3 linked regions of the Oryzias latipes genome follow. The protein of the gene in region 3 interacts with the protein of the main gene of each other region in a biochemical or structural test. Links are inferred from orthologs where the notes say so. Each region holds a gene or a part of one and is shown on either strand. Other genes may lie near its edges. The genes, in order: ETS domain-containing protein Elk-1, myog and srf.

Region 1 (4,151 bases), on a different chromosome or scaffold from region 3:
GCTGCTGGGGGTTCACTAAGCGGTCCACAGCTCGGAGAGGGCTTTCTCGGTCGGGGATTCTGCGGCTCGAACGTGAACGGTTCGGTCCGTACTGCGCGAGTCGGTGTGGTGAACGGAGCCCCTGTCACGAACCGCTCACAGTCTCCTGCTAACTTTGTCAAAGTGAACCAAAAGTAAACAGTTCAACCCCTCTCCCCGTGTTGGGTTCGGTTCCGACTCCACGAACTAGACGGTAAACGGTCCCCTCTTCAGTTCAGCAGGCTAACTGCTCAGCTAGCTTAGCGCGCTTCTGAGGCGACAAGCGCAGGAAACCCGGTCAGAACCACTACAGTCCTCCGGTACCGTCCGCACTCCTCCAACACAAACAGAAAGTAGTTGGTCCGGTCCCCCCGCTGTCCGAACGTCTGTTCCGACCACGAGCTTCGAGGAACGGCCAGTTAGATGAGTTGGTTTCCTGTGGGGGGCGGGAGGAGGGGGGTACGGCTGCAGTCAAACCCGGCGGGCTTCCGGCTGACGCTCCGGGAGAAAGGACCGACCTCAGAGCGGCTCCCAAGCCGTCCCGATGCACGACGGCGGGCTGGCCCGGTCATACAAAGTAGTTTGTATCGATTTAGGCAATCGGCTCCAGCATTTTACTGCCTGTTGTTTAGTTCTAATAGTAATGCGTAACAGTCTGTCAAAACAAAAAAACCTGAGGGAAAGTGATAATAAACTGACTGTACTGTTCTGGGGAAATCCAATTCAGCAAATTGTTTTTCTGTTCAGTTCTGAGATACAGCTGGTAGAGACAGCTTTAATACCAAAAACTTTGAAGCAAAAAACCGCAGAGCTACAAAGCCCACTATTGAAAAAAAAAAACAAGTATTTCAAAGTTGTGATTATCTATCAACAGGCACATTAATTAACAGCTCTTGTGATCCATGCAAAGTAACAGTTTATCTGCAGTTGCTATGATCTATTTTTCTGACAGTTCATTGATTTTGATGCCCTATTCTAAGGTTTCTGCGTTTGTAACATTTCCTTGAGTGTCTGTTATCTATCTACTACAGTCACTTTGAAATGTACCGTTGTTTGTTGCTTGTGACCATCTAGTGCATCCTCTACAGAAGCTGTCAAACATCTGCTGCAGCTGTTATCTATCTACAGATGCAGCTGGCAACCCTTCCACAGTAGCTGTCCATGCCCAACATTGGCTTTCAAACATCTTCAGAAGCTGTCAACTATGCATCTACAGAGGCTGTATGTACAAAATTGAGCTGTCAGTTATATATTGTAGCTGTAAACAATTAACAGGCGTTGTGAGCAATCTACAATGTATCTACAATGAACAAAAACGTAAACCCAACACTTTTGTTTTGGGAGATTTTGGATGTGATTTGCACGTATTTCAAGTGTGACCAAGCACAAAAAGTGATGGAAATTCACGTTGATGCACATTGCTGGCTGATGCCCACACATATTCTAAGTGCATCCAAGGGTAGATTTCGTTGTTGGTCACACATATTTTAAGGTGTAATTGTAAAGACTGGAATGGCTGCTGTTAATTGCTGTTAAGCATTTTCAAGATAAAAGTTCAGTACTGGCTGCGCGGATTTTAGAAATTACGTACAACTTGTCACTTCCTTTGTTTTTTGTCTTGTCTTTTATGAGATGAATTTGAAGATCTGTAACATTTTCTACAAACACAAGATTACCATTTCTTTCAAAAATTGTTGGCGTCTGTTTAAATCTGTGATAGTGAGCACTTCTCCTTTGCTGAGATATTCCAGCCCACCTCACAGGAGTGCCATATCCAGATGCTGAGCAGACAGCATGAGTAAAGGTGGGCCTTAGACCGGCCACGGTAAAAGGCCGCCCTGAAAAGTTCCGTTATCACACATCACAATGACACAGAGGTCGCACGGTTTGAGGGAGCGTGGAATTGGCATGCAGAAGAATTTCCACCAGAGCTGTTGCTCGTGAAGTGAATGTTCATTCTTCAACCATCAGCTGTCTCCAAAGGTGTTTTAAAAGAATTGCTGGTTGAATTACATTGACCATGTGTATCCACACTAGCCCAGGACCTCCATATTCAGCCTGTTCACCTCCAAGATTGTCTGAAACCAGCTACTTGAACAGCTGCTGAGACAATCGGTTTGGATAACCAAAGAATTTTCACAAAAATTGTCAGAAACCGTCTCAGGGAAGCTCATTGGCCACTGATCTTTGCCACTTTTGTGGGCAAATGCTCAGATTTGAAAGCGTCTGAAGAGGTGTTCTCTTCACAGCTAAGTCCTGGAGCGGTTTTCCAATGTCTATGACGTGGATCAAGTGGCCCATGGTGGTAGTAAGGTTATTGTATGGGCAGGAGTATGTTATGGTTGAAGAACATAGATGCATTTATATATGGCATTTTGAATACACAGAGATGCCGTGACGAGATCCTGAGGCCATACATCCAAGAACATCAGCTCATGTTGCAGCATGATAATGTGTGGCCCCGTAGTGCAAGACTCAGTATTCAGTTCTTTGAAGCTGAAAACATCCCAGTTCTTGCATGGACGGCACACTCACTTGACATGTCGCCCATCATCGAGCATGTTTGGAATGCTATGGATAGATGTATACAGAAGTGTGTTCCAGTTCCTGCCAATATCCAGCAACTAAGCACAGCAATTCCCCAGGCCACAATCCACAACCTGATCAATGTAAAGTAGTGATGTGATGTTTGAGTAGTGGGGGAGGAGTTTCCACAAAGCATGCATCAAGGCCTGCTTCATTGAAGGGTGATGAAAATGATGACATCAGAAGCCTCGTGACTGATTCATGAAGTGGTTCTGATTTGACAGCCACATGAATCCTTCAGGCTCCGTTCAAAATGTGGGTGTTTGATGGAGAGTTACGGTCAGTGAGAGTCTGGACAGAGAGAGATAGAGTTTGGAGAGTGTGGAGATTTAGGCAAAACTGTTTTTTATTTTATTTTTAAAATAAAATCATCAGATTAATGTGTCTCTTAAACACACTGGCCCGATCTCAATGTTATAAAAGCAGGATCATAGTCCAAAGCCCAGCCACCCTCACATGGGGATGAGTACTGAAACTCGGTGCCGAGTCTGTACTGGTTAAAACGCGGATTTTGGTGTTTTGTTTGTGACCTGTCAATCTCTTGTTTTCTCTTCAGTTTTGCTGTACAATTCCAGCCAATCATTTAACCTTTTCAGCAAATGCAAATAAGAAAGGGTGGAGCAATGAGAGTAAGCAGAATTTCAGTCCAAATGGGTGAAGAAAAGGAGAATGAGCAGTGACATAGACTTCGCCCCTTACCAGCACAAAGGACAACTTAAATGTGGATGCCATTGCATCGCTCTGACCTGCCACCATATTTAAAGAACAAAGCTGACAACAAAATAGTTCTTGTTTGTTCAGAAACTCAGCTTTAGCTCCTTAACACCTTTGGAGTGAAAATCAGAAGACCCTTCCTGGTAAACTATTCTGAAAGGTCTGTGAAGCAAATCAGGTGCATCTCCCTGATGGATCCTGATCAGTGTCCAAGTTTCTTCCAGAATGAAGGTCTTTCTTCCTACTCGGCAGGTAGGTTTGGCTCCATGACAGCCGGATGTCCACTTTTACAACTTTTCTACAAAAAATCTCATTGTGTGCTGTCAAGTGAGTCACTGAGCCCCTGCAGCTCCCGCAGACCCTGGGGAACGCAAACACAACTTCAGGATTGCAATACATCCGTTACCACATTCTGACTATAAGCATGGTCAAACAGACCTCCAGCACCATCCGGATGTTGGCTCTTATTTTGGCAGAGTCCTTGGTGAGCTGTTCTGTGAAGCTGCAAAACAAACCATCCCATGTTAGCACCTTTTACACTGATCAACAATATTAGCAATGAACTAACAGCTGACAGGAAGTCTATTCAAACTGTACTCAAAGATCCAAACCAGAAAACTAAGTCTCCATCATGTTTAGGAAAAGAGAACTTTTCTCTCTAAATTCAAGAAAACAGCATATTCTGCTTTAACAGTGTGCGATAGAAAACTGTTTATCGCATCACTACAAAGGAATCATTTGTGGGCGGGACTTACCCTGTCAGCTGACTTGTCTTCTTCTCAATGAAGCGCAGAGCCTCGTCAAGAGACATCTCTACAAAGAAACCGAAGCCC
Region 2 (4,130 bases), on a different chromosome or scaffold from region 3:
TGTAAACTGCTGCTCGACAACAGCCAATGAAATCCAAACGATCGTCTGGCAAACTCGTCTGGTCTCACATGGGCATCACCCATTCAGTTGCCATGGAAACGTGCTGCAGCGCAGTCTCTTGGCTGACTTACTCCTCATCCGAAGAGAGCACAGTACATGAACAGTGGTTTGATAGACGGCTGTGCTTTTTATAAATCTATTTATTTTACAGTTTTTTTCCAAGGTGTGTAAAGGTGTAATGTGCTATGTGGCAGCTATGAGTACTGTGTCTTTATTCCAGGTGTGAAACAATGCTGACAAATCAAGATTTTATTATTTGGCTATCCAAAAAAAGTGTACTGTATTTATGATTCAATGTAAACATGAGTAAAGTTGTTTTTTAAAGATTTTGGAGGTTGGTTTTGTTATAAATTCAGACATCATCACCAGGCAAAGTATTGAAAAGGTTTTTTATAGCAAGAATTGAAAGGAAAATATCACTTTTGAAAACATCTACAAATGCACAACAATCTTAGTTATAAAAGTCAAAAATAAGTTAGCAAAAAAATAAAAAATAAAATTGCAAAACCACTCTGTAGAAAAAAAAGGGAACATATTTACATCACTGGCATTTATAACCTGTTTAAATTAAGCAGATCTTGGTCAAAACTGCCATGGTACATATTGGCCCCACAAACAATCTCATGTTTTGTTTAAACATTTAAAATTCACACAAAAAGAATGGAAAAATTTGGGAAAGGTTTTGAAAAGAGAAACATCTAATTTAAGTAAAGTGAAGAACCAAGCTTTGTCATATGAATCTTTGATTCTGGAAGCAAGCATACATGGTAATTAGGTGTTTTGGTTCATGCAATAACATCCTTGAGTCTGACAGGTGAGCTCCTGTTATCTACAGCTCTGAACTATGGGATAAGGCAGGCAATAAGGAAAAGAGGTCTCATTGTGTAAAGGAAGAATTGGTTTTGGCTTGAAGACCTAAGGAACAATAAAGTTTAATACAAACCAATGACAAATTTTTATAATTTTGCACAAGATAAAACACTCAAATCAGAATAAAAAAAGGAAACCTAGGTTTTTTGTTGCAATATTTGCCAAATGTTCATTTTTTGTTGTGTTTGTGAAGTTGAGCATCTGCTTGGATGGTTCTGCAGGTTACAGGCTCTATTTGGGAATGTCCACAGAAAAGGTCACAGGTCCGTCAGCCGCAGAGATGCCTTCCACAATAGAAGTCAAGGAGCGCATGTTCCTCTGCTCTGGAGAGTCACCAACACTCAGAAGATCTGCAGACAAGACCGGGTTCCACAGTCAAAACCAGTGAAGGTGTTCTAGTGACACCTCATGGGACCTTTGAAGAGTACTCACCCTCGCTGCTGTAGCTTTGCGGGCATTGGTCTGGAGTGCTGCTCCACTCGGGGCTGCTGCAGCAGGTGCTGCCTGAACTTGGTTCGCTTGACGATGACACCTGTTGCCATGGACACGCACAGACAGAAGTTGCTGTCAGTCACTGTTTTAATGCAGCACAAAACCTCGCAGATAAACACTGAAGTAGCCTCACACACTCAATCACTAATGCATCCTGTGGTTTATCAGAAGCAAATTAAAGTTTCCATCTTAAATTATGGTCATTAATAAGCTGTCGGTGTCACTGCAACTGTCACTTTTGGTTGATATAAATATTTTATAATTACATAATCCCAAATGGTTTAAAAAAGCACACATACATGTATATTCTTATTCTTGTTTTTTAAACATTTGGAATTTATATCTAAATAAAAATTCCGAAACATCCACAACCATCGGTTTTAGCAGGTCTTACAATGGGTTCGCTCATCAAGTTGCGCCCTGAAAAGGTTTTTTATCTGAAACCTAATTTTTCCATCTCTTGTAGCCAAGTTTGTAGCTTCTTGTCTTCCTTTTTCCAAATCAGTCAAAGGTTTCTGTTCTTGCTTTTCTTTGGCTGGTTTTGCTCTCTGTGACTTCTCCCCTCTCCTAAACCTGGTTCCATCCTACTTACTCTTGGCTGGGCCGGGCTGGGTCTGTAGTGCAGTCCCTGCTGCCCTGTCTCTGTGTCCTGCTGGTTGAGGGAGGACACCAGAGCCTGCAGCCTTTCAATGTACTGGATGGCGCTCCGCAAGATCTCCACCTTGGGCAACCTCTGGTTGGGGTTCATCAGGGTGCTCCTCTTCAGAGCGTCAAAGGCCTCATTCACTTTCTTTAGACGTCTCTTCTCCCTCAGCGTGGCTGCTCTTCGACGGTCCATGGTCACCGTCTTTCTTTTACACAGCTTACAGGCCCATGGCAAGCACTGCCCAGGGCAGTGAGACTCTGAGTGAGGTGACAGACTGGATGGAGATGATTTGTCCTCAGGTGCTGGCACTCCAACACCTCCAGGGAGGCCTCCGCACAAACCCATTATGGAGTTTCTGTCCTGGTACCCAGTTTGGTCGTATGCCCCGGGCAGGCGAGAGGGGAAGTAGCTGTCCCCTCCTTCATAGAAGCGCTGGTCAGGAAAGAAGTAAGGATTGGTCTCGAAAAGCTCCATGGTGGGCAACTGTGGTCTAAAAGTGAAGGAGCAAGGATCCCGCTTTCCCTTAGGAACCACGCTTGACTCGGTCTTCTTCTGTCCTGCTTCTGGAGCTTATGTTGGAGTGTCCAAGTGTATGCTTGTCTTCCTCCTGGCCTGAGTTTGTGATGAGTGGAAGACGTGTGGAGAACAACTGGTGTGGAGCAACTGTAGGCTGGCATTTAAACCCCTCTGCCTGTTGCAGGATCACAGGGTTAAATTTAGCACTTGCCTCCAGAAACCTGACACGACGTTTAGCTGTTGCTGCACATCTACACTTCATATCTCTGTTGGGCCTTGCTCTCTAGGGCTTTAAGACATGTTGGTGTGTTTGCATGTGTGTGCCCTTCTGCGGTTCCATGTTACCCATTTGAGTCTTGAGAGACCAGGATATGATCAAGTTGCTGTGGAACAGGAAATGATAACCTTAGATCAAATGTATTTGTCTTAATAAGATAATCCCAGACTAGATTCCCCCTTCCTGCCACTAAACACCTCATTCAGGAGGACACTCTGGGTGCAAAGGGGACACATGCAGGGACAGTATGTTGTGGCAAGACATTGAGAGTTTGTTTTTGTTTTGTGATGGCCACCAGAAACAATGTGGGAGAATTGACATAACTGTAAACTGACAGGCGACATTAAAGCAATTGATATGAAGCAGGCTTCTCTGTCTCTGTAGAAGACAAGTCTTTACAGGCAGCTCAGGAAGTTAAGATTGAAGCTAACGCAAGCTCACTCTGGAAAAGGATGGGACAGTATTGAGAGGACCAAGTAGGAAGGAAGGAACGTCCTAAATTATTCCAGACAGTTCTGGCGTTAGCTTGGCGGGCGGGTGTTAATCCTTCCAGGATGTCTCTAACCTCTAAGTTCGCAAGTTAATTTCGACCAACCTTTCCAAACATGGACACACAACCAAAAACATTTTTATTCAACAGAGAAGCAGCTACGGAATGGGTTGTTGCATCTTTGCATCACATTTTGTTTTTTTCCATAGGAATTATCACCTGGCATAGGTTTTGCCTATATTTTGTGTCCTTATAGTGTATTTGCTGCATTTTTATACTATTTATCTGTTATTATCTGCTGTTTTGTTATCTATCTATCTATCTATCTATCTATCTATCTATCTATCTATCTATCTATCTATCTATCTATCTATCTATCTATCTATCTATCTATCTATCTATCTATCTATCTATCTATCTATCTATCTATCTATCTATCTATCTATCTATCTATCTATCTATCTATCTATCTATCTATCTATCTATCTATCTATCTATCTGTCTGTCTGTCCCACTGCCCATCTAGTCAATCCAGGGCTATCTGCCACATGTTTCTATGCTGCCTGATACAACGAATACGTCCAGGAAAAACAAGTCTGGACATGACAAACCTTAAAAAGCCCACTGCAGTCATGACAGAAATCCATTTAAGCGTGTCATCTCGAGGGACGTGGCGTCTCATTAAAGCGAAGTAGACGTTAATTTGTAATTTTCTCTCCTTTGTTGTTTACAGAAGTGAGTCGCTGTCGGTCTCAAAATAGAAGAAAAGTTTCAGTTCT
Region 3 (4,153 bases):
AAACGCGGCCCTCAAACATCTCAACGGGAACGTCAGAACTCCAACCTGCAGAAAAATCCAGAAATAAAAGTGATGCATTTCACCACAGAGACCAAAATAGCAGAAGATAAAGGTTCGAGTCCAGGAGAAGCTCGTCCCTCCAGCGAGGAGGACGGAGGAATGGCTTCCAGCAGATGCTTGGACTCAGACTGCATCCAACACACACATCCGACCAAACGGCTGCACTCAGCCTGAACTCCCCTCAGAGTCATCGCTCATCCTGAAGATGCTCCCGTCACCGTCAGGGAAGGCCGCCATCCCCCTCAGCACACGCCGGCGGGGGCGTCGCCCCAGAACTCGCAAATCAAATTCAAATTTGAGAACTTTATGGAGCCGTTGTAAAACCGGCGAAAGCTTCAGAGTAGCGGTGGAGAGCAGCAATCGTCCAGCCCCTCTGCTCCTCGCCGTGACTCCACGCTCACCTCCCCTCGCTGCCTACCGCGGCGCCGCTTCAACAACACCGCCGAGTCTGGCCAACGTCCAGCCTGGAAAAACGGACTCATTTGTCAACCTGAGCGTGGACGGCGGCCTTTAATAGGGCTCCTCGCTCTGCCAATTTTCACATAAATATGAGTAGCTGCAGGTGGGGGTGGGGGGCTGCTGTCTCCGCCTGATTGGTTCCTTTGGCACAACTAAAGCGGAGCCATTAACGAGAATTGCCGTACAATAACAGGCATATGTTAACCCTTTAACGCCTGTATTCATGCCAGCTGTTCTCAGGCTGATGCTCAATAAAGTTATTTTGGAGCCAAAGTGGTTTGATCCATATATGCATCAACAGACGTAAAGAAGTTCAAATAAAAACTTTGGCTCTTTGCTGTTTTCTTAGGCCTCATCCGGGTCCAAAAAGACTCGAAACGTCCTAGCAAAAGAACTCAGGAGCCCGAACCATCACTTTATCTCAGGCCGTGTTGGGGGCCACTGAAAACCAGCGGCAGATCCCTGCTCCCTGTAAACGACACGGCGTTCACCACGAACGACTCCACCGCTCGCCGCCGAGGAGAAACCAAAACGTCCATGAGAAGGAACCACCTACGGACCAGGAACAGAACCTCCAGCATCACGTGGATCCGTCAAAATGAAAGTTCAGAGCTACGATGAGTCGTCCCACTCCACCCACCTGTCAGCTCCTGTCAGGGCTGACGGAGTGTGGGCAACAGAAATCTCCATCCCCTCATTGTTGCCAAAAGCCCACATGAAGACACCACAGTTTCCACGACAACAGTCTGGGATGCATCAAAACACAACAGTTTAGATGGTGCTGTGGAAATAAAAACACACTGAAAAAAAGAGGAGTTTTTATGAAATCTGGCTCCTAATGACCTTCAGATGATCAGCAGAATATTTCTGTGTGATCGGGTTTTTAAGAGAGCGGTTCCGTGTGCAGAAGAACCAAACATGAGTATTCAATGAGGTTCTGCTCCTGGTTCTGGGTGCACCATACGGTGGTCTGTGCAATCGTCTGGTCCGGTTCCCGGGGGTTTAGTCAGCTGTTGGCACATGCAGGCCTGCAAGCCATGTGGCAGCTGCATACATGCATGCATGCATGCATGCAGCTCCATGCATGCATGCATGCATGCAGCTCCATGCATGCATGCATGCAGCTGCATACAGTTATGTGGGGTGAACTTCGTCACAAGCAGAACCGGGATCCTGCATCCTCTGAGGAGGATGTCAGAACTTCCAGACCCAAACTCTGGACATGCTTTCCTCCTCTGAGGGAGCTGTCAGCTCACAAATCAATGAACCAATCATCTTAATCAATCAATGAGCGTGCACGCGCCTCACACACTCACCTTCTTCATGATGCCCGTCTTCCTCTTGCTGAAGGTCGTGTACCTCCGTAACTTGTTGTCTATAAACTCCATCTTAATCTTCACGCGCCCCCGGGTCTTCTTCCCGGGCTTTGCCCCGGCGACTCCCCCGGACACCATGCCGTAATCTCCGGGGGTGACTCCCGCCTCCTGCCCCGCCGCCGCAGCCTCCATCATCTCCCCCCTCTCCCGCTTCACCCCTCTCCTGCTGTCCCCGAGTGACCCCACCGGGTCGTCGTCGTCCCCGGACTCAGAGTCGTTGTCGGAGCCGCTGCACACCCGCTCCGGGTCGAACCGGGCCCCCATGGGCAGCACGACGCCCGCGTTCAGCCCCACCATGTGTCCCGGTACGGCAGCCTGCAGGGGGTTCCCTCCGGTCCCGTTTCCCGGTCTCGCGGCCCTCGAGCCGCCTGGACCGTTGGCTCCGAGCATCCCAACCGCGTCCCTGTCCCCGGCGTGTCGCCCCGCAGCGCCCGCGCCGTCGCTTAGCCCCGGTCGGACCAGGACGGGGCGAATCCCGCCGCCGACAACCCCCGAACTGTGACCGGTGCTGCCCTTGCCGGACGCGGACCCGTTTCCAGATGGTACCGATCCAGCCTGGCTGGGTAACATTATATTTAGGTGACCGACCGAGTCCCGAGACACCAGCTGGAGAAGCTGGAGCGTGGCGTTGCGTGAGTGCCTCCTGATATATACCGCACGCGCCGGGGCCACGCAATGTAAACAAAGCGCTCAGTTGATTTGGACGCTACGAGACATTAGTGACCCAGACTTTGAGAGTGACGCTGCCCCCGGACCCGCGAACCCGGCTCCGTTCGGTCCACACTCCTCCTCTATTTCCAAAACTCTCCGTACTTTCTCAAAAAGGAAAGCGCGAACAGCTCCGTCGATATGACTCCGCTGCGTCACATAGTTCGCCGTGTGAGCAAAAAAAAAAAGGCCGAATATAACACCCTATGTACTCACGCGAAAACGTGAAGGCGTCGCTTTATTTACATTATTTAGTTTACGTGGATCAGAAATGCATAAAATGATCCCGCATTTTAAAAAGTTATCGCCACGGCGGAGTGATACGAGAGCCAGGGAACTACTTTCCTCCTTATAAAGAGATACAACGTTTCCTTATATGGTGCTGTCTCTCCTTATTTGGTGAGTCACAACGTCGCCTGCTGATTGGTTGAAGATTATCTGACTAAAGCAGTGATTGGACGATAATAGAAGCTCATTTGAATAAATACCAAAATGGTTGCAGTGATGTCAACGTCACAGTCAACGCTCATGTCGCCGAAAAGCGCAACAAAAACACAAAGTTTTCCGTTACAGATTATTTGAGTTTTTTGTTACGCAGTTTGTAATTCAAACATTTGTCCCCATCAACACAAATGTAGAAAAAAAAACATTACAAGCCAACAATAAAATAACGTGAAAAACAAAAAGTACAACAAAAAGCGCGTGGTGATTTATTTCAGTCTGCTCGGGCCTCAAACTCACCTGTTGGTCTACCTTTATTATGACGGCTGGACCAATGAGCTGAGGTCACCAAACTGAGTCTAAAGGTCACGGATGGAAAAGAGCTTCAAGGTCAAAACTGGTCCAAAACCATATTCCTCTTATTCTAAAGGTTCCTGTTAAAAAAAAAAAAAAAAAAAACTTTATTAAATCAGCCAAATCTGGAGCAGCTACAGCCCAACACCACCCAACCTAAAGAACCCCCCCCCCCCCCCCAAAAAAATGTGGCTTTTTTCTAATTGACATTTCATTTCTTTGTTCAAATCGCTGTGAATCAGGAGCAGAAGAAAAGATGCTGTTTGAAAAGGATTCATAAATATGCTGGGTGGTCACAAGCTGGTCTAGGCTTTCAGAACAGTGATGGGAAAGGGGGCGGGGTGGCTCCACATTAACAGCCTCGGTGGAAGACGACACAGATTTGTTTTAGGCTAAAAACGGCATCATCACTTTTAAAAGGCCACTAGGAAGACTTTGAAAATAGGGCAGAAGATGATGAGCAGAACTTCAAAGATTTCAAAAATGGAATTTAGAAAAAGTAAAGTTATGTTCCATCAAAAAAAAAAAAAGACAAATCTGAGCTCAAACTAAGAAATTAAAGGATAAATCCATCGTCATCATCACGGTGTGCATATATGTATATATGTCAGGTTAAACTTGTCATGGAAGTCAACAGGAAACTACATTAGTTTAAACATGAGCATAAAGAACTTTCTTTTTAAAAATAGGTTTAAAAAGTTTAAAAACAAGATCAAAACGGGCCCAAGAGCTACTAGTTTCCCTCAACGATGGAT

What was found.
Region 1: the proteins of srf (region 3) and ETS domain-containing protein Elk-1 form a complex in vitro, tested with the Homo sapiens proteins (2 studies listed by BioGRID). The link is inferred for Oryzias latipes from reciprocal best matches to the Homo sapiens genes SRF and ELK1.
Region 2: the proteins of srf (region 3) and myog form a complex in vitro, tested with the Homo sapiens proteins (2 studies listed by BioGRID and IntAct). The link is inferred for Oryzias latipes from reciprocal best matches to the Homo sapiens genes SRF and MYOG.

The regions. Positions count from the first base shown.
Region 1 is NC_019865.2:33,754,919-33,759,069, forward strand, and holds the start of ETS domain-containing protein Elk-1, read right to left. Parts: upstream 2,805-4,151; 5' UTR 1-2,804. Other genes in the region: protein UXT, read right to left, coding at 3,629-3,679, 3,757-3,820, 4,074-4,151. UniProt on the Homo sapiens protein: Transcription factor that binds to purine-rich DNA sequences. Forms a ternary complex with SRF and the ETS and SRF motifs of the serum response element (SRE) on the promoter region of immediate early genes such as FOS and IER2.
Region 2 is NC_019863.2:28,569,191-28,573,320, forward strand, and holds myog (myogenin), read right to left. Parts: upstream 2,801-4,130; 5' UTR 2,543-2,800; coding exon 2,015-2,542; intron 1,463-2,014; coding exon 1,363-1,462; intron 1,281-1,362; coding exon 1,162-1,280; 3' UTR 436-1,161; downstream 1-435. UniProt on the Homo sapiens protein: Acts as a transcriptional activator that promotes transcription of muscle-specific target genes and plays a role in muscle differentiation, cell cycle exit and muscle atrophy.
Region 3 is NC_019873.2:29,042,396-29,046,548, reverse strand, and holds the start of srf (serum response factor), read right to left. Parts: upstream 2,812-4,153; 5' UTR 2,466-2,811; coding exon 1,836-2,465; intron 1-1,835. UniProt on the Homo sapiens protein: SRF is a transcription factor that binds to the serum response element (SRE), a short sequence of dyad symmetry located 300 bp to the 5' of the site of transcription initiation of some genes (such as FOS).